Linked DNA regions of Cricetulus griseus. The protein of the gene in region 1 interacts with the protein of each later gene in a pairwise test. Links are inferred from orthologs where the notes say so. Each region holds a gene or a part of one and is shown in the gene's direction. Other genes may lie near its edges.

Region 1 (2,355 bases):
AAGTCACAAGGCATCTCAAAAGGCTCACAGTACAAGTTATACCAATACAGGCTCACCAGATTGTAAACGCAGCCCCGCCAACTCTCGGTTAGATAGATGCCTGCTTTTCAGCTGTGTGTTATCCCAGCTAGACAGGGAGAGAGCATCATCAAGCCTATTTCCCCACTCCTCTTGGCCTCCTCTAAAGGACAGGGACCTTTCTCCAGAAGCTTCAGTCCCAAGCCCGTCCTGGCTATGTGTGATTAGGTTATACCAACAGAGCTAGCCTATGTTAAAGGGGACTTGTCCCTGGGAGTAAATGTTCCTGCTGAGCAAATGCCAGCCTCTGCCTCACCTCTTTGCTGTCACTAGGTGGTCCCCTTGGGTCTTGCAGTGCCTCTGGGCAGGCTCTGTGTTTGATTCATGGGTCCCCAAGGCTCTGTTGTTTCACTCAATGCTGACTCAGCCCAGAGGATTAGCTCCCTCTGGACTGCTGCTCTTGTAGTGAATAAAGTTTTATGTTCCCTGCTCTTCATTTTAAATATTACTGAGTGTGACATGTTCTATTTTCCTCTCTAAGGGGGATGGACCAAATTACTTTTTACTGGTATGTGGCCCTTAAGTGATTCTTAGATGCAGGGAGGAAATTTCACGTAGGAATATTGGCCATACATATTTCAAGATGTAATTCAGCATTAGAAAGTTAATTATGCTGACCAGGTAAAAGTAATAGTGCCAAATTCTAGACAGTCAAGGGCCACTAGAGTCCAGATAAGTGACAGAAAAAGGTAAGGATGGGGAAGGGTCCCACACGTATTAATCACTAATTGTGGCACATGTTAACATGTGTTAGTCACCCCATCACCATCTCCAGGGAAGTAGGCACCGTGAGCACTTTTTGTAAGAGAGGAAACTGAGGCCTCTATCTTGATGTAGCCCTTGGTTGTCAGGAAGCCAGGTGCCAGAATAGAAGGCCGCGTGGGCTACAGGACAGCAGTAAGATGTGTCTGTGCTGGGGGGCAGTTGGGAGTCTCCAGCCACTTTGGGCAAACTGAGCCTCTCCCTACCTAGTTAGATAGCCCTGTATTCATGCCCCTGGGTGCATGATGGGAAGCTGGATACAGGACAGGCTGTTTAGTGCCCCAAGAGCCCACTGAGGCCTCCTCTCCTCGCACCTGCAGAAACCAGCTTGGACACCAAGTCCGTCTCAGAAGGGCACCTCAAGAGGAACATCGTGGTGAAGACGGTGGAGATGCGGGACGGTGAGGTGAGCAAAGGCTCTGGTTGCCCCCAGGAGTTCCTGAAGCGAGACTGCAGAAAGCCTGGGACTAGCTCACAGAAGGTCCCTATTAACTAACTACCGGGGCTCCCAATGGAAATTTGGAAGAAGGGATTGACCTTGAATGCAATTCTCCTTTCCCAACCCTTCCTCAGGTGGTGTGTTAAGGGCAACCCGGGTACCAAGGCCTCCTGATGGCTCAGCTCTGACTGGGACAGTTAGGGAAAGAAAAGGCCTTCAAATCTTACTCAAAGGAGCTTTCCAGAGAGGAATGGGAACAGGAGATAGACACAGCATGCATGGCCTTCTCTATTTGTTGGGGTGGCAACAGAGATAGCTTCTCCTGTGCCATAGTGTCAGGCATGGTGTTAGATGCTTTACAAGTGGCATTTCACACCCCAATTGGACCTCAGCATGATGCAATTACAATGACAGTCAAGGGAGGACAGGTCAGGATAGTTGGGAGCTTGCCTCAGGATGCACAGCCTAGCATGGTGGGTCTGGGAGCTATGTCACCCCTAACTGTGCACTGTGCACCTTCCCTGTCCCCTGCAGGTCATTAAGGAGTCCAAGCAAGAGCACAAGGATGTGATGTGAGGTGTGCCCACCTGGTGGCCCCTGCCAGACAGTGTGAAGGGCCCAGAGCTCCCCCTCAGATAGCCCTGTTCCCTTCAACATCAGCATTCCCCTTCCCTCTGTTTTTATGCCTGTCTGCTGCCCGGGGCTCAGTCCTTACTGCTGACAGATGGTACATACTCTGTGCCTCCAACTAACAGGATACTCACCCCAAAGGGGCAGTCAGGAGGGGAGGGGCCAGCAGCTGGGTTAGAATTGGAAGGAAAGAGGAAAGTTGGGCAGAGCAGGGAGCCTTAACAAATCATTTCCTTCATCCTTGTTGTTATGGAAACTGTGGCCAGAGCTGATGGTCTCTGGGAATTGGACTTTGAGTTTCCACTAGCTGCTGAAGGAAGACAGAAAGTCGGACAGAAAGGGGAGGTCCCAAGGCAAAGTAGCTCTAGCCAGAGACTTGTTTCCAGAATAGCCCTGACTGATCTAGGAGTGGGTGGGGAGACCTGCTACCTGGAATGGCCACTAAG
Region 2 (3,937 bases), on another chromosome or scaffold:
AGCTAATGAAACAACACAGGGTTTACTCCACAAATGTGTGATGGTATGCATTTTATTTTTTTTTAAGGAATGTATAATTGTTTCCTCATCCATCTGAAAACTGATTGCAGAAGGGCCAGTGACCGCAAGAGCAATAAAAGGCTGAAGCCACAAATCCTGAACTACCCTCTAAGATGGTACCCTTTGGGTTTTCCACAGAACAAATAAAAGTGACCTCAATATCTCAGAAGATGCCAGTTTTATTTTATTTTTTTCAAGTTTCACCATGTGGGGTAATCATATTTATGAAAAAAGATTTGACATCTGGATTACAAGCAAGATCAGGTTGAACTACCTTGAATTGTATTAATTAAACATCTTTCAATGTGCGCTCATTTAATTTTATTCATGCCCAAACCATATGAATAATGAAATTAGTACCAGCAAAACCACCATCGAAAATTTGGGAAAAAAAAGTCAAGAAAGAGGAGGAGCTCCAGTCTGGGCAACCACAGCATACATATACTTGTAATTTCAGCCAGCCTGGTCTACTTCGGGGAGACTTTGCAAAAAAGATAGGAGAGAGGGAGACCTGGAATACGAATGAATGAATGAGTGAATGAATGAATGATGAACAGATTTGGGATTAGGTGACTGCAATTTACTTTGTAAAGGAGAGGATGAGGTCCAAGGTGGCATTTAGAGCTACCTGGAAGTTCAGTGGCTCTGGCTGCCCTGATGAAGTGTGACCTCTCACAGAGGGTGTGTGAGTGAACGTGCCCTCCCTAGGCCTCCGGAGGGGCCTGGAGAGCTTCCTCGGGCGGATAGCACCGAGGTGAAGGATGGGGGCGGCGGCGGCGCATTCCCGCCGGGCTAACAAAGGCAGCGGAGGGACTTCCAGAGCCGGGAAGCCCGCGCGGGGCCGAAGGGTTAACCCGGAGCCCGGCTCCCGCGCGCATCCCGGCCCCCGCCTGCCGTCGCTAGGAGACGCCGGAAGTGGGGGAGGGGCGGCGCGGGTGGGAATCTTTTTCGGGAGCCCGGGGGCGGAGGGAGGGAGGGGAGCGCGCGTGCGCGTGCCCGCGCTGCCCGCCCGCCCGTCGCCGCGGTGACCGTCCTCGCGGCTCTCGCCGGCTCGCGCCCCCGCCTCCGTCCCCCGCCCCCTCCCGCCCTCCCCGCCGCGCGCTGGGGGTGCCGCTCGCTCCTCCCGATTCCCGCCGCGCTCGCCGCTGCTCCTCCTCTCTCAGGCGTCGCGGCCGCTGCCTCTGCGGGCTGTATGAGGAGGCGGAGGAGGAGGAGGATGTGAAGATGGCGGAGCTGCAGATGCTGCTGGAAGAGGAAATCCCGGGGGGCCGCCGGGCCCTCTTCGACAGCTACACGAATCTGGAGCGGGTGGCCGACTACTGCGAGAACAACTACATCCAGGTGCGTCGCGTCCCCCCGGCTGAGCGCGTCAGGTCGCGGGAGTGTGCGGGGCGCGCGGGGCGCCGCCGCCTGAGGAGGCCGCGCGGTGCTCGGCCCGGGGAGCCGCGCCGGGGTGGGGACGGGCGAGGGCGGCGGCGGCGGCGGCGGCGGCGGGAGGAAGCGGGCTCGGCGGAACGCCCCAGAAGCCCCGTGCGGGTCCGCGGTGCGGTGCGTGCGTGTGTGGCGGCCCGCCTCCTCATCGCTGCCCCTTTGCCCCCGCACTCTTCGCCTGTCAGGGTTCCGGGCGGCGGCGGAGGAGGTGGCGAGTGGCATTTTGTAGATAACGGAATGCTGCTCGGATGGCCGGGTTGTGTGTGATAGAGGGATATGTTACCTCCTGCCCAATTCCCAGGGGCTTTTAAGGGGTCCAGTTCCTGCAAAGTGAATTGCTTCGGTTTTCCCTTCCTGGGAATGTCCCCTGAAGACAAAACAAAAATACTTAACCCTTAAGTTTAATTTTTTTTTTTTAAGGTTGTAAAGGGGACACAGTGGGACGGCGTCCCTTATTACAAGTTAATGGCATTTTTCTCAATACAGAGAATGGGGAACTGCCCGATGATGGGCTGCTTTTCCTCCCCAATCCCCGTTAGAATAGGTCATTTTCCTATGGGAAAAAGAACTATGACTATTTTTCACAAAGATTTACGAAAATGAACCTTAGTTTTTTTCCCATGATGATTGCTTTGGCACCGGGACTCATAGTGGGTGTGTGTAGGAAGGTGAGAAGGTGGGGGAAAGACATTGGTGAGATGAGAACCAGCTGGTCATGGATGAATGTTAAAAATCTTATGGGTTAAAACAACGCTTTAAAAATTAACTAATGATTTTCAAATCCAGTATCTCTTGTTTTCCGTAGGGCATATACGGAATTTTGGGTTGTGCCTCGTTTATGTTCTCTGGATAAAGTGGAAGCAGGGTGTTAAGCTGTTAGCCCTTTTTAAACATTCTTGTTCCTACTCCCATCTCTGCAGATACCCTTATCGTAACCAGTTATATTGGAAAGCATTCTCAGTAGTTAGTATGAATTGTATATATTAAAAATTCTATAATTTATAGGTTCATAAGTTTTCTGGGGACCACATGGTTAATCAGAGATAATGTCATTAGGTTTTTCATTGATTACACATGTACTGAACTCTACTACTGTTGCAAACATTTGTGTTGGGGAATGAATCTGACATAATGGAATCCTTTTCCCTTCAAAGAAGGAGTTGAAAATGTGTGTTCAGTAGGAAGAAAGTGTGACTTTGGTTACAGATTGATTTAAAAACAAATCAAAACCCTAAGATACTTGCTAATACAGAGCTGTGTAGGAGTTAAAAGGTTTTATTGCTTAGCTTCACCAGTCTTCTTTGGCCCAGAACTGTTGATGGTACACTCCTAAAGTCTTCAGGGGTTTATAATGTAGTTCAAGAGGCTGATCTGTGAGCGAATTAAACCCATATTAGTACTATATATCGTCAGCCCTTCTTGTTGGAGGGTCCTACATTTGTGATTCAATAAATTGATCAGTGAAAATACTCCCTCTGTATAAATGCAAAGAGACGTTTTTCTTGTCTTTCCCTAAAAGATAGTGTTAACACTTAATGGGCATTTACATTTTATTAGGTATTGTAGGTAACCTGTAGATTTAAAATATGGAGGAGGATGTGTTATGGATAACATGTAAATATGCAGTTTTATGTAAAGGACTTGAGTATCCAGAGATGTTGGGATGGGGCTGTGGTGTTGGTGTGGGGGGTGTTCTAGAACTGATCCCTATTGGATACTGAGGGAAAAGTCAAGTATAGTTAATTTATACTTTGTAGTGGATTGTGGGTAGGGAGGTTTTGCTTATTTTCAGGGATTCACAGCTGCTAGGAGAGGCAAACCTAAAAGTGCTAATTCTGTTGCCTCATGTAGCATATTGTGGGAAAGTGTCTGTCAGAAGAGAAACTGGGGGATGGAAAAGTGATAGGATTGTAGTTGTAGCCGACTAATAAGAAACAGGTTTGTCTGTCTTTGGAAGATTAATGCTACTATGTTAGATTATAATTGCCACATAAAGGGAAGCATACATGAATTGATCTAGTGGAAAAGTGTAAAATCAGCATTTGTCTTAAATTTTATAATTCTAGCTGAAAGAGAAGTGTCAAAATTGGTATGTTATTTACGTACTTATTTTTGGTGTTGGGGATTGAGTTTAGGGTCTTGTGCGTGTTAAAAATATACTCTACCTGAATTATACTCTGAGCCCACGGTAAAAGCACAAATAATAATTTCCTAGAAATGGATTTTGAATTTTGAATCATCTGTTTTCAATTTAGCACCTGAAGTAGAGTTTGTACTTTGATTGCTTAGGTTGTCCTCTATTGTGGGAATCACTGGATTTATTACAGTTGTGCTCTCCCAGGTGACACTTCTTACATGATAACTAGAACTGGTGATAGTTGATTTGTGCTGACCCAGCTGTACATTTGACTCAAGAACTGACCAGCAGGGGTCCTGATGCTGTCTG
Region 3 (4,280 bases), on another chromosome or scaffold:
TTCTAGGACATCTCAAGCTATGTTGGGGCCTGTTTTCCATCTGTATTCGCAAATCACGTGGCTTTGATTCTTGAATTCAGTGAAGCAAGACCTCTGTTGCTGGGAGCAGAAGAGAATTTGGACCCAGCTTTTGGCACCTTCTAAGACCCTCAGCAAATCCAAACCTGCCACTGAAAAAATGGAGGCAACCCACCTAACACAGACTCTGGAGGAAGGTTAATAAGCTATTTTGCCCTGATTAGTATTGACGTCATTGCTCCATGCCTATGGATGTCCCATCTGCTTACTCCCCCGCCCCCAGCAGGTTCAGGAATCTCAGGCCATAATAGGGTCAGCCCTAGTCACACTGAAGGTCATCTATAAGAGCTCTTGGCACACGCCTTTAATTCCAGCACTCTGCAGGAAAAAGCAGGTGGATCTCCTGAGCTTGAGGCCAATGTGGTCTGCAGAGCAAGTTCCAGGACAGCCAGGGCTACACAGAGAAACACTCCCAAAAATAAAATCCAATCACTACTATTGACTCCCTGTCCACCTAGCTGATCTGGGTCTACCTAATAGGGATGATGGTGTTTAGGACCTCGAGTGTAAAGACCAGTGCTCACTATGTCCCTGACAGGTGCATTTTATTTTTGTTTTGAGACAGTGTCTGTCTATGTAGCTTTGGCTGTCAGGGTGTTCCCTGTATGGACAATTGTGGCCTTGAACTTCCAAGTACTGGGACTAAAGAATTAAACCACCATGCCCAGTTTGATTTTTTGAAGCGAGATCTCTCTACATAGCCCTGGCTGTCCTGGAAAGTTCTATGTAGACCAAGCTGGCCTCAAACTCAGAGATCCACCTGTCTCTGCCACTCAAATGTTGGGATTAAAGGTGTGCGCCATCATGCGGGACTTGATGCTGGTTTTTTGGGGGGTGGGGAGGGGTTGTTTTTGTTTTCCTAACAATTTGTGGAGGGCCTAAAAGAGACAGGATTTCATTTAATTCACACAGGTTTCACACTTGGCTCGGTACTGAGCCAGGCGGGCTGGAGGAAGAGAAGCTGTGCATTAGTTAAGGTTCCTGCTCCGGTGGAGCTTACATTCCAATTTTCTATTTCGTCACAATCCATCGTAGAGGCGAGGAAAGCTGGGAGGGAATAGGCGTGCGGCTGTCAAGGAGCTGAGCTGCGACTTACAAGCTGCCGGGAATCTCACCGACGGAGACTGTGAGCCGTTACTCCCACTCAGAGGCTAGGTCTTCATTTTGTGTGGCTCTGGTCCCCGATTCTCAAGAATTCAGGGCTAAAGCAGCCCGCTCAACTCCAGAGCAAACCCCGACACAACTGGGACAGTGGAGAAGCAGGAAGGCAGAGACGGCCAACAAGCCATTGCGCCCCGAGCTACGGCCGTGGGCGGGCCTCGAAGGGCCTGGCCCCGCCCTCTGGAGGCAGCCCTGCTTCTGCGCAGGCGCAGAGAGCGCGTTCTCGCCCCGCGGCACCGCCCACATCCTGGGGACGTCGGCGGCGCGCGACGTGCTTCGCCGGATAAATGCGGTGGCGCCGGTCGTAGGAGCGCTTCAGTCCTGAGCGCCAAGACGTCTGGGCGTTTGGTGTCGTCAGGTTCTGCGCCTGAGCCCTCCCCTGTACCTGCCTGTGCCATGGCGGACGAAGGGAAGTCATACAACGGTTAGTTCGGGGCCTCGGGTCGGGAGGCGGCGCGGTGGGCCGGAGTGGGCGGCCCCGGCCTAGGCCGCAAGCCCGGGGGCGGGAGGCCGCGAGGAGTTCTGTGTCCGTGGGCAGCGGTGGCCGCGCGGGCAAGGATGGGGCGCCGCGGGACACAGGGGCTCCAGAGTCGCCCGGATTCTGGCGTTGGAGGACCTGTGGCTCAGGGTGGGGTGACAAGATTCCTTTGAACTTTGAGGGTGGTTGATGCCTGTCAATTGAGTTTGGCGGCCCGACTCGTCCTTTAAATGTGAGTCAGTAGTACCTTGTTCGTGGGCTGCTTTGGTGCCCTATTTTTTTTTTTCTTTTAACGCGATCAGTTGGTCTTTCAGCTTGCTCCTTAATGTTTACCAGTTTCCTAGTTCTAACAATTACCTTGATGGGTTAATTCATAGTGGTGTTTAGGACGGCATGACAGGTGATTGAATCTGGAGTTGGCTTTGCTAACCCCGACGGAGTTAAACTTTCAGGCCTTGTTTTCCGCCTCTTTCATGTGGGTATCTTGTCTTCCCAAGTTTGCGTGCGTGCGTGCGTGCGTGCGTGTGTGTGTGTGTGTGTGTGTGTGTGTGTGTGTGTGTGTATGAGATAATTTCTGTCAAGTGGCTGGAAGTGAAGATTTTTCAGTGAACCTTAATTGCACTGTGTTTTCACTAGAGTCACTTGGTGAGGGTCATTGTTTACAGGACGATAGATATGAGGTAGATTTCTTTGGAAGTCATGAACCTTTTTGTGTTTGTGTGGTGCTGATTTATCCAGGGTCTGAAAAATCCTCAGCCCAGTGAACCTTTATTTTAACTAAAATATAATTATATGGTGGGTGGCAGTGGTGCACACTTTTAATCCCAGCACTCGGGAGGCAGAGGCAGGCGGATCTGTGAGTTCCAGACCAGCCTGGTCTACAAGAGCTAGTTCCAGGACAGCCTCCAAAGCCACAGAGAAACCTTGCCTGGAAAAATAAAACAAAACAAAAAACAAACAAACAACATGTATGTATGTATGTATGTGTGTATGTATGTATGTATGTATGTATGTACGTGTTTTAACAGGATCTCCCTCCAGTTACTTTCATGTCTACCCACTCCCCAAATTCATACAACCTGAGTCCATTTAGTGTAGCTAGCATGTACTTATTTTTAAGGCTAACCATTTGGCCTTGGATAACCATTTAGGGAGTTCATCCCCGTTGAAGACTAATTCTCCCTTATAGGGCCAGTCTTAGTACCCCAGGCTGGCCTCATAGTCAGTCTTTCAGTGCAAGTCTCCCAAGTTTGGTATTGTAGGCACGTACCACGAGACTTATTATTTTGTGCTAGATGAACACTAGGCCTTGCATACACCAGGCAATCCCCTCCCATGGAGCTAAATTCTCATCCTTTTTGTTGTTGTTTTGAGATGGTCTCACTAAGTTGCCCAGTCTGACTTGAAGTTTCAAATTCTCCTGCCTCAACCTCAGTCTGTGTGTGTGTGTGTGAAGGATAAAGGTAAGCACTTTACCAGCTGAGCTGATCCTCAGTCTCCTTTTGTGTTAGTGCCTACATGTATATACATATAAACCTATACACAACGTCTGGCTTTGAACTCTACAAAGAGGAGGGTGACCTTGAGCCCCTCTGATCCTCTTGCCTTAAAAACAGTATACTGTGGCCAGGCGTTGGTGGTTCACGCCTTTAATCCCAGCACTCGGGATCTCTGTGAGTTCGAGACTTGCCTGGTCTACAAGAACTAGTTTCAGGACAGCCTCCAAAGCCACAGAGAAGCCCTGTCTTGAAAAACCAAAAAAGAAAAAATTTTAAAAAACATAAACACAGTATTTTACTGCACTTGGTTTCATTTATTTACTTTTTTTTCTTTTTCTTTCTTTTTTTTTTTTCAATATGTAGCTCTGACTGGAACTCACTGTATAGACCAAGATGAGGCTGGCCTTGAAAACTCACAGAGATCTGCCTGCCTATGTCCAGCTCATTTTCCTTTTTTTTGTTTTTTTTGTTTGTTTGTTTTTTGTTTTTTTTTCTTTCCCCTGAGACAGGGTTTCTCTGTGTAATAGCCCTGGCTGTCTGGAACTCACTTTGTACACCAGGCTGGCCTTGAACTCTCAGAGATCTGCTTCGGACACATGTGTATTAGAAAACACTCCAGGACCCTAATGTGGAACTGCCAGCTGATCCTGCATCTAGAAGTCCCTTGAGGTGCAGTCACTTCTGCTCACAGAAATGAGCATTGCCCAAATTCAGAAGGACAGTTTGAGAGCAAGGAGGTGGTGGTTGTTACTAGCTTATGTAGACCAGGCTGGTTTCTAACTCACAGAAAATCCACTTACCTCTGCCTCCCGAGTGATGGGATTAAAGGTGTGAGCCACTACCATCTGGCTATTATGTGGTTTTAAAATAGGTCATATTTGTAAGTTTTTTTTTTCATTTTTTGAGACAGGATCATGTAGTCCAGGATGGCTTTGAACTTGTGTAATTGAGGCCTCCACTTCCCATTTGCTGAGATTACAGTTGTTTCCCACATCTGGCTCTGTGGCCCTCATTTGTATGTATAGGCAAAAGATCAAAAATTTCAAGTGGTTTTCAGGGGTGCC
Region 4 (2,932 bases), on another chromosome or scaffold:
AAGAACCACTAGAGCCTTTCCCTGCTCTTCCTATGGGATCTGCTGACCCACCAGAAAGAAGTGCACAAAGAAAAGCCACATCTCAAGCTCCTCTTTTTCCAATTCCTTCTGCCTGAAGCCACACCCAAAGGGGTGTGGCTACTGTTTCAGGTCCACAGACCAGATGCCTACATAAAACCTTGTCTATCTGTTTTTACTTTATTTTTTCTCAATTGTCAATACATGACTATTATCTAAAAATACAAAACTACAGAAAAATATAAATATATGAAGCAGCCTTTTTATGCTTATACTACTTTGTAGACTGATTTTTTAACTTCCTCCTTTTCCTGTTAAATGAGCAGCATTTTGTTGTCAATAATTTTATTTGATTTATAATGATTAAAGAGGACTTTTCTGTTTGTACCATATAGTACCTCATACTCTGAGTTGTGCCTTCCTAAGTATTTAATACCAGTTGTGTGTACTTAAATAGCAATATGTGGATCAGTGCCCAGATGAGTCATGTTGATTTTGAGATGGTATTAGAGGAGAAACTTACTGTGTATTGACCAACCTCGATAATTTCTAGTGTTAAAAGTTGGGACTTAGAGGAAAAACTTACAAAGATGCAAAATCTGCCAGATAAGAAAACAAGAAATTATAGCTCTTTTCAATCAGTATGGAGATTAAAACTCTTCCTTTGTCTCTCTGTCCCTCTCTCCCTCGCTCCCGTGTGTGTGTGTGTGTGTGTGTGTGTGTGTGTGTGTGTGTGTGTGTGTGTGTGTGTGTGTCTGTGTGTGTCTGTGTGTCTGTGTGTGTCTGTGTGTGTCTGTGTGTGTCTGTGTGTGTCTGTGTGTGTGTCTGTGTGTGTGTAAAATGAGGAATAGAAGGATAATAGAGAGCTGATCCCAATGTATTGTGAAATTAACTTGGTAAAGTAAATATTGCTATTTTATCTCACTAGTAATGATAAAAATAAAAATTATAAATTTATTTATATTTAATAAATATTATCATATTGAAGATTTTATAAGTGTATAAACACAGCCACAAATATATGATCAAGTTCTCTTCCTAAGTAAAATATGAACAAAACATACTTTTATTTGTGTAATTGTAGAAAAATTGTTTCTTGGCACTACAAAAATATTTGAATACCTTTTTTCTACTGTCTTCAAGAACAGAAAAGTGTTTGTTTTGATTGTGAATTGCTAGACTTGATGAAGCTCTGTCTGGCTGAAAGGCTATCAGAGTGAAATCTTTTCCTTGGAAAGTTAGGTCATTGGAAATTTGTCATACACATCCTCCTGATGGATGATGATTAGTTCTCTCATGGCAGAAAATTGGAGAAGGCATAGCTTTCCTACTTCATATGTAATTTTTTGTTTACTCAGGTGCCCAGAGGCTTGCCTTACTTTGCTGTAGACTTTGGCCTTCAGGGAGGATTTGCCCATGTCATTGAAGATCAACACAAATTTCCTCGTTACTTTGGAAAGGTATACTCAGAAATTTGATAAAACCCTGAAGATTAGTGGTTTGGTTAATATTTTCACAAGGTTGTGAAAGAAAAAGTTTGAATCACAGAATTTGATGAGTTGTTTTCTATACAAGTTTGACAGAGAAGGGTGTGGGGGTGTGTGTGATATTAACAATAAAAGAAAAAAGTACCAGAATATTCATTAGCCAATCAGAAATTTCATTGTGTAACAGACATTTTTGGACATTGTGCTCGCTCAGTCTTTGTAACTATAATGTTTTCCTAACTTTGGAGTCAGCTTTGTCCTGAAAGTTATGTTATTTGCTAATGTTTATTGAGGGCTTACAGTGTGCCCATCTACTGTCTAAGCAGCCATCTAGTGCTCACAGTTACTCTACTGTCTAGATTTTGTTCTAACATTTGTTGTGAAGATAGGAAAACTCTAAATTGCAAAGGGGTTCTGTGATTTCCCTAGGGTTATGTGCTAAGTGAGAGGACCCAGGTACCACAGGTGATGGTTAATACAGAAAATAAATGGTGTTAGCTCTTCATTTGTAGTTAAGGTATAATCCAGGAAAAATAAATAACTCATTTCACAGTTAGGTTCTGGGCACGTATGAAAATCCCCATCATTTGATTACCAGTAGTTTCTTTCAGGGGGAAAAAAAAATGCCTTCATAAGAGCATATTCCTTAAATTTAGAGGTCTACATACTAAGTATCTAAATTCTCTTCAGGAACTGGAATGAAATTAATGTAGTGTGTGAAATTGGCAAAAATGAATCTGGGCCTAGCTCAAGCCTTCTTGTATCACCTTTCTGTGATTATGCCTCTACAGAGACCAGCCTTGATAAACTCTGCTGAGAGTTCATAATTTCCCACCCTGCTTCCCCCTCTGCCCTGCTCTCATCTGCATGAGATAATCTTCTACAATGAAATTGGGATGTTTCAAGAGAAAACAGCTCCATTAGTTTCAATCCAGAACTCACTATGCTGCTGGCCTTAAATGAATATGCACATTCCAAAATCACATGCATTTTTGAATTATTACTTAAATATTCTCACATAGCCCAGACTGGTCTTGAACTCACCACATAGCTAACTATATCCTTGCACTGCTGTTCATCCGGCCTCCACCTCCTGATGTGAGTTTCCAGGACTGTACCATCATGCCTGTTTTTCCACAGCCTTGTGGATCAAACCCATAGCTTCATGCATGTCTGGCCTGCATTCTACTGCTCTACCAACTTAGGTGTATCCTATCCCCTGTTTGAGAAGTTTGCTGATTTTTCTACAGAATTAACAACAACAAATAAAAAACAAAAACTCAAAAACTTTGTTTTCACTGCTTTGAACAATCCTGTTGTTCCCTAGAGATTTTTAACTGCTCTTTAGCTTTCAATTTATAGCTCTGGATTCATAGTCTTAAAATGTGTTTCCAGAGGAAAGGACATCACTATGACCCATTGTTTCA
Region 5 (4,254 bases), on another chromosome or scaffold:
GAAACAAGCAACTTTTAGGTTCTACTCAATGCTATCCAATGCACTGGGTATTTTACTTAAGCTAATGGGTAAACATCTTCATGGCTCAAACTTAAAAAACAAAACAGTGGAATGTAAAAAATGAATTAATAAAAAATACAACTCCTTGCTGGGGTATATCCCTGAAAGACATAGAGTATGTGGCTCAAGGGGGACACTGAAGCGGATTGTTGGGAGTAAGAAATTACTAGAATTATTAACGCCAAGTGCGGAAGGAACACAGCACCGCATACTCTCAGAATTTCAGGCCCCGGCGCCATAGGGAGCAGGCCTGGGGGTGGGGTCGGGGGAGGGGGATTCTGAGAACGAGGCTCAAGTGGCAGAATCCGGGTCCTTAGAGGGTCTCTTAGGAACCTGCAGCTAGGCTGATTCCTCACCAGGTGGCAGGGAAGAGGGCAGGGAGGTGTGTCGCCATCTAGCCCTTTTGGCACGTCTGGTCTGGCAACCTGGCTTGGTGAAGTGAGAAATTTGGGCACTTAGGGAGCCTGTTAAGAAGATAGGGACTCAAAAGCGGGCTCTCCGTGGGATGGCTCCGTGGGATGCTAGGGGGAACGGGGAGGACTTCAGTAGGTTTCAGGGTCTGATGATCAGCGCCCTGGTCCGGATTCTAACAATCTCCACCTCACATCAGAAGAAAAGAAGGCTCGGGACGGTAAACCCACTTACTTCACGGTGGAAGTAGACCTGGGCTTCTCAGTTTCTGCCCTTCAGAAAAGTTGCTGCTAATTCAATCTTTTTCTAGCAATTGGTAATCGCCTGGAGCTGGGTGTGTTTCAGAGTGCTTCACACACAGGGAGGGGCTTATCGGGCCTCCCCGCCCGGCTTCGCAGCACTTATACAAAGCCATCAGACTTTTAAAGGAGCCGAGGCCTAGGCACTAAGAGGAAGCCCAACAAAAGACTACGGTCCCGCAGACCCCACGGCCGGGGCACCCTGCGCACACGGCGCTGGGCCGCCACCACCACCGATCCCCAGGCTGGGTGCCGGGTCTCCCTCCGGCTCTGGGGACTCCAGGACAGCGCTGAGAAAACCCGCCTTCTGGCCGGGAGGAGAGTGGCGCGCGAAGCCAGGCCCCGCCCCCGGTCCACCTCTTCCGCTCGGCCCTGAGGAGTCTGCGCGGCCCGGGGATTCGTTCCGACGGGGCCACGTTGCCCTGTGAGCCAGTCCGCGGCCCCCGGCTCCCGGCACCCCTCTGCTCGGCCCCCTGCCGGGCTCCGGGACCCAGGCCTTCCCTCCCTGTCGGCGGGGTGCAGCTGTGCGGGGATTGACGTGGCCGCCCGAGAGCTCCGCACGCGTCTGGGATCCCGGCCTCGGAGGCCCCGCCCCGCTCCGGAGCGGAGAAGCCGAGCGAGCGCGCCGGGCTCCGCTAGAGCTCGGCTCCGTGCTCATGCCCTGCGGCCCAGTGGGCCCGCGCCATGGCCTCCGGGAGCGTGGCCGAGTGCCTGCAGCAGGAGACCACCTGCCCCGTGTGTCTTCAGTACTTCGTGGAGCCCATGATGCTCGACTGCGGCCACAACATCTGTTGCGCTTGCCTGGCCCGCTGCTGGGGTGCCGCGGAGACTAACGTGTCGTGCCCGCAGTGCCGGGAGACCTTCCCGCAGCGCCACATGCGGCCCAACCGGCACCTGGCCAACGTGACCCAGCTGGTGAAGCAGCTGCGCACGGAGCGGCCGTCGGGGCCCGGCGGCGAGATGGGCGTGTGCGAGAAGCACCGCGAGCCTCTGAAGCTGTACTGTGAGCAGGACCAGATGCCCATCTGCGTGGTGTGCGACCGCTCGCGGGAGCACCGTGGCCACAGCGTGCTGCCGCTGGAGGAGGCGGTGGAGGGCTTTAAGGTAGGGCCGGGCCGGCGGACAAAGGGGCGAGCCGGGGGCTTCCCGGCCTGCCGCCGAGAAAATGGCGAGCCGGACGTGGGGCCCAGCGCCGTCATTTCCTCCTTGTCGGCTGCGGGGCCTCCGCACTCAGACTCGGAAGGAGAACCTGTAGCTGGCGAGGCCAGATGCGTCCCCACCCCCATCCCTTCTCCCAGCACCCCCTGTTAACTGCCTCAACGCGTGCGGGGCAGGGACCGGCGCGAGGAGACCCTCCCTTTGACAAAGGAGATGCACATCGAGCCCTGTCCACTTTGGTAGGCCTTGGAGACCTCGAACTCATCTGGCCCGGGATATCAGACTAAACAGTTGCTGTTTGCTGGCTGAGTTCACATCAAGCAATGCCTATCACTTAATCTATGTCCCCAGCACTTCCCTGTAACCTGTTCTAGAAGCTAATGGAAATGAACACAGTTCTTTACTACTTGAGTAAATCATTTAGCCACTCTGAGACTCGGGAGATAACCGTTGTTATGAAGAGTAAGTGAACTCACAAGACCTGAAGAGGCCTTTGTGAACTGTTGAATAAACACTGGCACGGCTACACAGTAATGCAAAAATGTTACTTATAAAGGAGCTCTAAAGTGACAATGAGTCTATTTTGAGGGCTGCAGAGATAATACACACATAAACAGAATTGTATTTGTTTAAATGTGAGTTCATCCAAATGTCAGTTCCATTTACAGAGCTGTATCAGTTCACTCACTGGTGATGAGTCGTAGTTTGGAGAAGTGATGTTTACTGATTCTGTGTGTGAGGAAAATAAATAAATAATTTTCTCTGTATTCCTCCGAAGAAGAGGTACACCTTAGCTTTTGAGCCTCCTTACCCAGATGTCTCATAACTTCTGCAGAACCCATCTAGGAATTGGTAGGTGGCTCAGAGTTTAAAACAAATCACTAAAGCAGAGCTGTGCTGGCCCCTGTGCTTTGGGCTCTTCCCCGGAGTGGCATTGTGGTCTGAGGACAGTGCAGCCGGGCCTTGGCACCTCTAGTTTGGGTTCCCGTGTGATACACAGAGTAACTATTCTGATGCTGGAATCTGCATGATCTTCAACTGCCCAACTGTTTGCTTTCTTCAGGAACAAATCCAGAATCGGCTGGACCATCTAAGAAGAGTGAAAGACTTGAAGAAGAGACGCCGGGCACAGGGGGAGCAAGCCAGAGCTGAGCTCTTGGTAAGGGTCCAGATCTCCACCCTGCAGAGGCCTTGCATCTGGGCAGTAAACTTTTGAACTACTAGCAGTCTCTGGTAATCCTTGAGAAGTCTCAGTCTTGGCCAGGGTGCAGTGAGAAACTTCCAAACAGCACATGATGTCTGTCAGTCCCACCACTTAGCTCTGCCATGTAGGGCTGAATGAGACCTTGTCACCCCTTGCTTGAAAATAGGATGAAGGAAACTTCTCAATGATCCTGAGTAAACTGAAATTACACATAGAACAATGTCAGGTCTCTGGGAGGTTTTGTCCAGAGAGAGACAGCCTCTAGGAATCCAGAACCTTGGATTTTCTTTTTGGCTCTGACACTTAGCCAGTTTAAATGGAGAGGTGGTACAGCCTCTCTGGGCCTTCATTTCTTTGTGAAACAGAGAGGTCAGATGAAACCTGTGGTTCTCCAGCAGGCCAGTGCTGCCCTTTCTGCCCTTGAAATGGTAAATGGCTTGTTTTGGGCGGAGTCAAAGACTGAGTGGGGATGTGGGACAAGGTTGATAAGTGTTTTACAGCAAGAAACAGACCTATGCCAGGCAAATTGTTCCTGTAGGGGTGTTAGTCACACCCTTTAGGAAACATGATCGTTAAGGTTTCTTTTAGTTTTAATTTTGTACATCTAAGATTACATTGTATGCTTTATGCCTTTGAAAGACTTACCCAGCTGAGAAGAGGTATGAGCTTATCGAAAGGGTCTATAAACCAAAGGGGGGGTGGGTGCGTGCGTGTGCGTGCCTAAGTGCTTGATAGAAGATGCCTGATAAGTGCCTAAGAAGATTGGCTAGAGGTGTGATGGGGGAGCACTTGAAACAGCTGAGTTCAGATCAGGTTTGACAAACTTTCTAAAAAGGGCCAGTAGTATTTTTAAACTTTGTGGGTTTACACAAACAGCCCAGTTACTATATCTCAAAAGCATCCATGTCTAATACATAAGTGAATGGATGTGGCTGGATTCAAGGACAATATTTCTTGACTGTTCTAGAGCCATTTGCTTATTTCTTTAGAGATAATTTCACTATGTAGGCCAGAGATGTTTTGAACTCTCAATATTCCTTGCTCAGTCTCTCCAGGTACAGGGATTACAGGTATGCACTGGCACACTTATAATTCTTTTGTTAGAACTCTTGGTTTTTTTTT
Region 6 (3,500 bases), on another chromosome or scaffold:
GTTTTAATTGCCAAAGAACAAATGTAATAAAAGTCATAAAAATAGAAAAGAAACATTTCATGATTCTTCACTTTATTGGAGCTTTAAAAAGTATTTATTTATTGTGAGTTCTGCTTGCACATATGCCTGGAAACCAGAAGAGGGCACCAGATATCATTACAGATGTTTGTGAGCCACCATGTGGTTGCTGGGATTGAACTCAGGACCTCTGGAAGAACAGCCAGTGCTCTTAACCTCTGGGCCATCTCTCCAGCCCTTTATTAGAGCTTTTAAGATGTTATTTCTTTCTAGCTTTTATCATCCAGTGTTTACTGTTGAGAAATCTAATGTTTTGATTCCTGCTTCATTTTATGAAAACTATTTTGTTTCATTTCCAAAAGTCAATACTGTTTTCTTTACTCTAAAATTGTAAGATTTTACAGTGATTGCTTTGGAGTTTTGGTAAGTCATTTCAGTTTCAAGACTTTCAATCTTCGATTCTACAAATATTAATCATATTGTTTAATAACTTACTGTGCTTTCTGTCCTTTGTGGAGCAAATTTGTTCACATGTTGAATGTTCTGATTTCCCTTTCATTTCTACTTTCCATCTGCTCTTTTTTTTCCATTCTGAGAGTTTTTTTTATTATCTTGTAATGCTTCTATTTGACTTTTGACTACCAGGCTTTTAACTTACATTTTTGTTATTTTGTTTCTCTGTTCATCTTTTATAATACACTCCTTTTATATACAATACCTTTCTTGTAGTCGGGCAGTGGTGGCGCATGTCTTTAATCCCAGCACTCGGGAGGCAGAGGCAGACAGATCTCTGTGAGTTTGAGGCCAGCCTGGTCTCCAGAGCGAGTGCCAGGATAGGCTCCAAAGCTACACAGAGAAACCCTGTCTTGAAAAACCAAAACCAAAACCTTTCTTGTTTAAAATATTTATCTTATGTATGTGTGTGTGTTGCCTGTGTGTATGTCTGCACCATTTGTGTGCATAGCCCAAGGAGGGCAAAAAGAGGCATGGGATCCCCTAGGAATGAAGGAATGAGTTACAGAGTAATGTGAGTCTCCATGTGGGCTCTGAGAGTCAAACCTGGGTCCTCTGTAAGAGCAGCTAGTGCTGTTAACTGCTGAGCCATTTCTATACTCGGGACACAATATCTTTTCATACTTTATTAATGTTATTTTCTGTTAAAATCTGTTAAAATTTCTCTCTCTCTCACTTTCTCTCTCTCTTCCCCTCTGTGTGTGTGCATTTGTGCATGTGCTGTGTTTCAGTTTCCTCAGTTTTTGTTCTTGTGCTTTGGGGAACCTTTTCTCTTTAGCTAAGCTCTCATCAAGGATCTGACAATCCTGGCCTGTCATTTGGTGGTTTTGTTTTTGATTTGAGGCAAGATCTCACTATTTAGTCTTGGCTGGCTTTGAGTTCACAGAGCTCCTCCTGTCTCTGCCTCCCAAGTACTCGGATTAAAAGTGTTCACCACCACATCCTGCTGTTCATTTAAGTCTTAGTTTATTCACTAAAGGACTTCATACTTCCGTGTACATCATACATACATACATACATACATACATACATACATACATTCATACATACATAGAGTCCTGTAATGTGGTCCCCCAAAGCCAGTGTTAGAAGGTTCATTTCTTGCTACTGGGTGAATCCAGAGAATTGTTGTCCCTCCCAAGAGGATGACAGTCACTGGCACTCTGGGAGCTGATCTTAGAAGGCAATCTGACAGCTTCGTGGTTGCTGGGCACCCTTGCTCAGGCTTCCCCGACACCAGCGCTGAGGCGAACCCTGCTCCTTATCCTGTCTGGATTTTCTGAACTAAAATCCATCTAGGATTGGAGAGCCATCTCAGTGGTTAAGAGTGTTTACTGCTTTTCCAGAGGACCTAAGTTTAATTTTCAACACCCACTTCAGGTGGCTTACAACCACCTGTGACTCCAAGTGATCTGATACCCTCTCCGGCCTTCAGTTTTGGGCATTTATACACACACACACACACACACTCTCTCTCTCTCTCTCTCTCTCTCTCTCTCTCTCTCTCTCTCTCACACACACACACACACACACACACATTCTCTCTCTCTCTCTCTCTCACACACACACACACCTCTCTCTCTAACACACACACACACACACACACACACACACACAAAATTAAAGTTAAAAAAAATCTTTTAAGGAGATGTAGAGATTGCTCAGTGATTAAGAGCAGCAGCTATTCTTCCAAAGGACCACGTGGCAGCTCACAACTATCTGTAACTCCAGTTCCAGGGGATCTGATGCAGGCAAAACACCAATGCAAATGAAATAAAAATAAATATCTTTAAAAACTATTTAGTTCATTTTTTCCAGAGAACAATTTTTCCTCTCTTATCATGGGAGGGTACTGGGGATACTGGGCACCTGGATAAACAGGGTAGGAGAGGAGCCCCAAGTTCATCTTGTTTTCATCCCTACATCGTCCTCCTTTCTACCTGACCCAACAACCCTCTCAGGGGACCTGGCAGGAAAATGCCTGGGCTTCAGGTAGGACCCCTCCTTGGGGGCCTTGGGTCAGGCCTCAGTGCTAGTCATCACTCTTCCCCCTTTTCTACTCTTTGGTCTTAAGGACCTTTTTTACATCCCTACTGTTGTCATCATCATGGAGCTCCAGAGAAGGGAGAGATCCATGGCAGCAGAAGACTCAATGTTCCTTTCCCATTACAGACTGAACCTCCTCGGAAGAGCACCTGGAGACAGAAGCATGAGTCTTTTATCCGTACCCTCCGCCACGCTCGCCAGGTCCAGCAGGTCATCGCCAAAGGTGGGAACCCCTCAGACTTGCCTCCTGTCCTGCCAGCCGAAAACCCAGACTATGTCCAGTGTCTTCACTGCAGCCGCCACTTTGCTCCCAAGGTGGCTGAACGACACATACCTAAGTGTAAGACCATCAAGAACCGTCCTCCACCTCCAAGGAGGTATGACAGCTGAGCAGACAAAGGCAGAAAACTGCCTTGTGTAGATCAGGAGGCTGTGTGTACCTTCAGCAGTAAACCAGAGGAAGCGATAGAAAGCAAGGGAAAAAAAACTTTTCCAGAACTCAGGATCTGCCTGCAGAGCAAAACTGCCCCGGAGGAGAGCCTGCTACCTGGCAGGAGGCAGATGGAAGCCCCAGTGTCCCACTGGGTCATAACCGTGGCTGTGTTTATGTTCTTGCCTCAAGAACTGGTGTGTAAGGATACTGGATAGTGAGGCTGCATTAAAGCTCTTGTCTCCTGAGTCTGACCATGGTTTGTGCTGGGGAAGTGCCTGTATTTAGTTGTGTTTTCTGGCCATGGCACATATCCAGGGTTTCTGTTAGCCCTCTTGCTCTTCAAAGTAGGGGTATAAGGATGAGTAAGTTGAAGTCAGAGAGTCATTGTCATATGCACATGTTAGCTCTAATAAAAGATAGCAAGATTCTGCTGTGAGGTATTATTAATGGAAATCTATCCTTGGCCTCCATGACACATGGTCCTGGCTGA
Region 7 (4,295 bases), on another chromosome or scaffold:
CAACACTACTGACAGAGTCATTGCCCTAATATAAAATAAACAGACTTTTTCAGTAATTGTTTGGCGTGTATACCTATTATACATACCTATATACTTGAGGTAAATTTGTTCTGGGTGAAAAGGAGTTGAAAATGGAAAAAGTTTGAGGAGATCTGATCTAGAAAACCGGGATGAAGTTGATTACTAAGAATGAACTAATCATTCCCGGACACAGGCCTTCGTGCTGGGAGAGAGGCCAGATGATCCTTTCATGTGTAAATCTGTATACAGAGCGCCACAGAAGGTTGGCCAGAATGGCAAGGACACAGGAGCTGTTCATTTTACAGATTCATTCAACCTGGGTCCAGCTTCCAGAATGAATGGGACCGAGAAGAACTGTGGTGTCCAGAGGGAGTCAGTGGTCTTGGAGTTGGCTAATCTATCAAGTGGTGGTTCTAGCCTGAGAACACAGCGACTAGCAGCTTGCCAGAAAAAAAAAAACAAAACAAAAAACAAAAACATTTCCAGTCTTGAAACTAGTGCTTAGGAATGTGGGTGGGACAAACAGATAAGTAAACTGTAGACTGGATAGTGACAGGAAGAAGGTTAAGGCAGGGGAAGACAGGCGTTTTAGAGAGGATGTTTAAATGGCTCTCAGAAACGATCTTAGTAAGAAGATGGTATCTGTACGAAAAAAAGCCTTGGCATGTCTGAAGGAAAAGGGTATTCTCGATGAAGGCCTGGTGGTGGCAAGGCTCTGAGTAGGAGGCCTGTGTGGCTAAGGTTGGAACGTGCTTCTGGGGTAGTTCACAGCAGAAAGGGTTAGGAAGCGTTCCAGGCATTGGTCCATCCAGCACATCAGGACTGAGCTGTTGGGAAGATCAGAACCTGCCTCCGTTTCCAACTCTAGCCGGGAGGAAAGGTTTCTAGGAAAGTCCTGGAGCCTAATTATAACCCCCTTCCCCGTTATAGACTTATTAGCATTTGGAAGACTTCCAGGGTAGCACAAGGAGCCTGGGAAGTGATTCTGTAGCAGCCCCTAATTGCTGTGTAGCCTTAGGGGTGTCTTTTATCGTCCGGTAGCCTCAATTACTTCATCTGTAAAATGAGACTAGAGAGCCTTCTCATAGCGTCACGAGAGATCGTTGAAGGTACCTCTTACACTTCCCTATAATGTCCAAAAAGCAAAAGTGAAAACGGCTGTGACTTCACTCAGCCCTTTTCGGCTTTTTGCAAAGCACACTGCGTGGGTTTGTAGGACCCACCGTGAGTAGGGACACGGTTCAGGTCTCACCCAGCCCGCACACCCGGCTGGGAGCCGCAGAGCGGCTGTGGGTAGCGCGGAGGCGACGCGGGAGGAGGTGCGGGGGTGCTGGGCGGAGCCGCAGAGCCCGACCGGGCGACCTGAGTCTGGCGAGGTACTGTGAACGCGTTGGGAGTGGAGGCTGAGACCGGGCGGGGCTGCAGCGACACGGTTGAGGGCGGATCTGTCCCCGCCCTCGCTCGCGTCCCCGCCCGCTCCAGGAGCTCCCAACCCGCGCGGCGCGCTCTTTCTCCGACAGCTGCTCTGGGAGCTCTGCGCGCCCTGCTGTTCCGTGCCTGGCCCGTCTGTCCCCTCTGATTGTGCCTAGCGATGACCACCCAGCAAATTGTCCTTCAGGGCCCGGGACCCTGGGGTTTCCGCCTCGTAGGCGGCAAGGACTTCGAGCAACCTCTCGCCATTTCCCGGGTAAGAGTGTCCTGGGACGCGCGTGGGAACCGGGCGCTTCGGTAGGGTGGCGGCGCTGCGCCCGGAGGGGAGTCGGGGAGGTTGGAGCCCGCGGCGACCGCGGCGGGGCACATCAAGGTGCGCTGTGCTCTGAGCGCTCTGTGCCATCCGCTGTCCCTTCCCCGCCACTTCGCTCCGGGGCAAGCGGGCTCCTTGCTTGCCGCGCCAAGGCCAAAGACAGTTTTCTTTCTGCGCCCCGGAAGCGTGGCATGGCACGCAGACGCTCTTTGTGCCCGGGCGTGTAGACTTGGAGCTCCGCAGACCCCGCGCGCTGGGAGTTAGCACGCCCTGTTCTTCACAGTGGAAGAGCTGGGGAGCGCTGATTGGAAGCAGCAGAAAGTCCTGGAAGGTGAATGGGAGTACAGAGGAGTTCCCTGGAAGGCGAGTGGGATTCTTTTAGCTAAGAACTGAAACAACTACTTTACACTCTGAAGGTCTGACCCCATAGCTGCTGGCTCTCAGCTCTGTAAAGCCTTTCACAGGAAACAGCGGAGTTGGGAAGTAACCCCAGATAAACCTTCAGTAGACTCGCTCTGCCTCAGGTGCTTAGATCACCTTTCTGTCCTCCAGGTTATCTGTGATAAGTTCATTTCCTCCTGGAAGAGTAGTTCCAACCCTGTGTGTGGTGGCGATGACTGAAAACCTCTTAGCTGGGCCTCATCTCCGGGAGGGCTGGTGGCCCATCACAGACTGCTAGACTTGTGATCCATAAATGAAATGTAACCCCCTGTGAGACTAGGGCTCAGCATTTGAAGGTCCACACTTTGGGTATGTGATCTGGGCCAAACAAGGTCTATTTCCCAGTGATAGTCAACGTTTTTTGCTCCTTCAGATAGAATGGGTGTGTGTGTGTGTGTGTGTGTGTGTGTGTGTGTGTGTGTGTGTGTGTGTCTTACTAAATATCTTCTGATTAAGGAGAGAGGGGGAAACTTCAGCAATGCTTGGTCTAGAGGGACCACATTCTATTCTTTGGTACGTTTGCTTGCTGAAGCTGACCTTAAACTTGGTTCCCCAGTTTTGGAAATACCCCTCTTTTCTTAGAGGGATTCTGGGATGGAAGTAGAAGCTAAAGATCCTAATGGGTCCTCTTGACGTAAGGCCATGCTTCCAGCCCCTGAAGGAGATGGATGGGAGTTGCAGAAGCACTCCTGGCTCCCCTTGGCCTTTCTGCCAGCCGCAGGGCCTGCAGCTCAGGCTTTCTTACAGGTGGGCCTGGCTCAGCAACCAGCTCTTTGACTATCCTACTCCAAATGAGCAGGCAGCCTGGTTTTCCCCTTGACCATGTCATCGTCCAGAGATTTCTTTGTTATTGGAGATATGAGATGCTTTCCCACCCTCCAGTCAAACTTCTCAAGTACGGGAACTGTGTCTTAGCCAACCTGACCTGTTAGACTAAGCCTGGCCCAGGACTGCACCTGACTGTTCCTAGTGTGTCCTTGCAGACAGAATGCAAATGCTTCCCTATGGAGGGCACTGCCTCTGCACATTTAGAGTTGGTTACCTCATAGGCCAGTTGTTCCCGCTCTTTGTGTCTATAATTAACCTGTCAGTCCTCTCCATTTCCAAGAAACCTTCTTTTTAAGCAGGGGAGGATACAGTGGCAGTCTGTTGGAAGGGTAGTCTTGGCTTGTCATTTGGCTGCTTCTAACACCACTGGGAAAATAGCACAATGGTCCATCCGGCACAGTGTAGAAATGAAGCTGGCATGGACTGGAAAACACACCGAATCCATTGCTTTGGACCTTCATGCATTAATTAATTTTACTCCTTTTTATTTTGAAATAGACTCTCATGTTGTATCTCAGGGTGATTTTGAACTCTGTATGTCGACAAGAACTTCTGATCTTCCTGCCTCCCACCTTCTGAGTGCTGGGATGTGTGGCACATAGCGCAGGGGATTGAACCCAGACGTCATGCATGCTAGGCAAGCACCCTACCAACTGAGCTACATCCCTAGTCCATACTCCACACTCATGGTGAATGAGCACATGCCAAATGCAAACTCCTCAGACCTGACAGGATACAGCTCTAGAGGGAAGCTAATCTTCATTATGCCTTTGGCAAGTGTTTTAATTGAAAAGTGAAAATGACTCAGAGACATTGTCATTGTGATACTGGCTATAATTTACTTGCCTCTTCACCTTATCACTGCCTCTGTTCACCTCTTGGGACTGAGAAAGTGATTGTCATTAAGAGAATGTGTCATGGGTGGTCTGGGATCTGGCATTGGTCTGGAGTCTAGTTCTTGTCCAAGCGGTACCTAAGGTAAGCACCCAGAGTTTATTTATTTTTTTAATCACTGCAGTGGGGTAACAGCAGCCCTTGGCTACCAGTTGAAGAATGTCTAGTGCTCTGTAAACAGAGCATAATGGTGAGGAGCGAGCATTGGTAAGAGCTCTGCCCACCTTCTGGCTGCTGTGTGCCACATTTATTATCCTGGGCAGATACAGTTTGCAAGTACGTTTTTTTTGTGTAAGTAGACTTGCAGGCTCCACACCAAAGCAAACCATAAAATTAGGCAGGGAGAGGAGTGCCTCTTATTTAAATA

What was found.
Region 2: the proteins of Gfap (region 1) and Abi2 interact in binary tests that used the Homo sapiens proteins (3 or more experiments, as listed by UniProt). The link is inferred for Cricetulus griseus from reciprocal best matches to the Homo sapiens genes GFAP and ABI2.
Region 3: the proteins of Gfap (region 1) and Nxf1 interact in a two-hybrid assay, tested with the Homo sapiens proteins (3 studies listed by BioGRID and IntAct). The two-hybrid records come from large-scale screens. The link is inferred for Cricetulus griseus from reciprocal best matches to the Homo sapiens genes GFAP and NXF1.
Region 4: the proteins of Gfap (region 1) and Cwf19l2 interact in binary tests that used the Homo sapiens proteins (3 or more experiments, as listed by UniProt). The link is inferred for Cricetulus griseus from reciprocal best matches to the Homo sapiens genes GFAP and CWF19L2.
Region 5: the proteins of Gfap (region 1) and Trim27 interact in binary tests that used the Homo sapiens proteins (3 or more experiments, as listed by UniProt). The two-hybrid records come from large-scale screens. The link is inferred for Cricetulus griseus from reciprocal best matches to the Homo sapiens genes GFAP and TRIM27.
Region 6: the proteins of Gfap (region 1) and Zc2hc1c interact in binary tests that used the Homo sapiens proteins (3 or more experiments, as listed by UniProt). The link is inferred for Cricetulus griseus from reciprocal best matches to the Homo sapiens genes GFAP and ZC2HC1C.
Region 7: the proteins of Gfap (region 1) and Pdlim1 interact in binary tests that used the Homo sapiens proteins (3 or more experiments, as listed by UniProt). The link is inferred for Cricetulus griseus from reciprocal best matches to the Homo sapiens genes GFAP and PDLIM1.

Annotation. Positions count from the first base shown.
Region 1 is NC_048600.1:115,230,590-115,232,944, forward strand, and holds the end of Gfap (glial fibrillary acidic protein), read left to right. Parts: coding exon 1-87; exon of another isoform or gene 88-1,160; coding exon 1,161-1,246; exon of another isoform or gene 1,247-1,813; coding exon 1,814-1,855; downstream 1,856-2,355.
Region 2 is NC_048595.1:414,643,676-414,647,612, forward strand, and holds the start of Abi2 (abl interactor 2), read left to right. Parts: upstream 1-1,137; 5' UTR 1,138-1,284; coding exon 1,285-1,401; intron 1,402-3,937. UniProt on the Homo sapiens protein: Regulator of actin cytoskeleton dynamics underlying cell motility and adhesion. Functions as a component of the WAVE complex, which activates actin nucleating machinery Arp2/3 to drive lamellipodia formation.
Region 3 is NC_048596.1:51,336,284-51,340,563, reverse strand, and holds the start of Nxf1 (nuclear RNA export factor 1), read left to right. Parts: upstream 1-1,480; 5' UTR 1,481-1,635; coding exon 1,636-1,663; intron 1,664-4,280.
Region 4 is NC_048597.1:118,136,824-118,139,755, forward strand, and holds part of Cwf19l2 (CWF19-like protein 2), read left to right. Parts: intron 1-1,376; coding exon 1,377-1,478; intron 1,479-2,932.
Region 5 is NC_048596.1:243,527,678-243,531,931, forward strand, and holds the start of Trim27 (zinc finger protein RFP), read left to right. Parts: upstream 1-1,454; coding exon 1,455-1,874; intron 1,875-2,991; coding exon 2,992-3,087; intron 3,088-4,254. UniProt on the Homo sapiens protein: E3 ubiquitin-protein ligase that mediates ubiquitination of various substrates and thereby plays a role in diffent processes including proliferation, innate immunity, apoptosis, immune response or autophagy.
Region 6 is NC_048598.1:118,485,549-118,489,048, reverse strand, and holds the end of Zc2hc1c (zinc finger C2HC domain-containing protein 1C), read left to right. Parts: intron 1-2,703; coding exon 2,704-2,967; 3' UTR 2,968-3,438; downstream 3,439-3,500.
Region 7 is NC_048596.1:21,316,375-21,320,669, forward strand, and holds the start of Pdlim1 (PDZ and LIM domain protein 1), read left to right. Parts: upstream 1-1,495; 5' UTR 1,496-1,612; coding exon 1,613-1,708; intron 1,709-4,295. UniProt on the Homo sapiens protein: Cytoskeletal protein that may act as an adapter that brings other proteins (like kinases) to the cytoskeleton. Involved in assembly, disassembly and directioning of stress fibers in fibroblasts.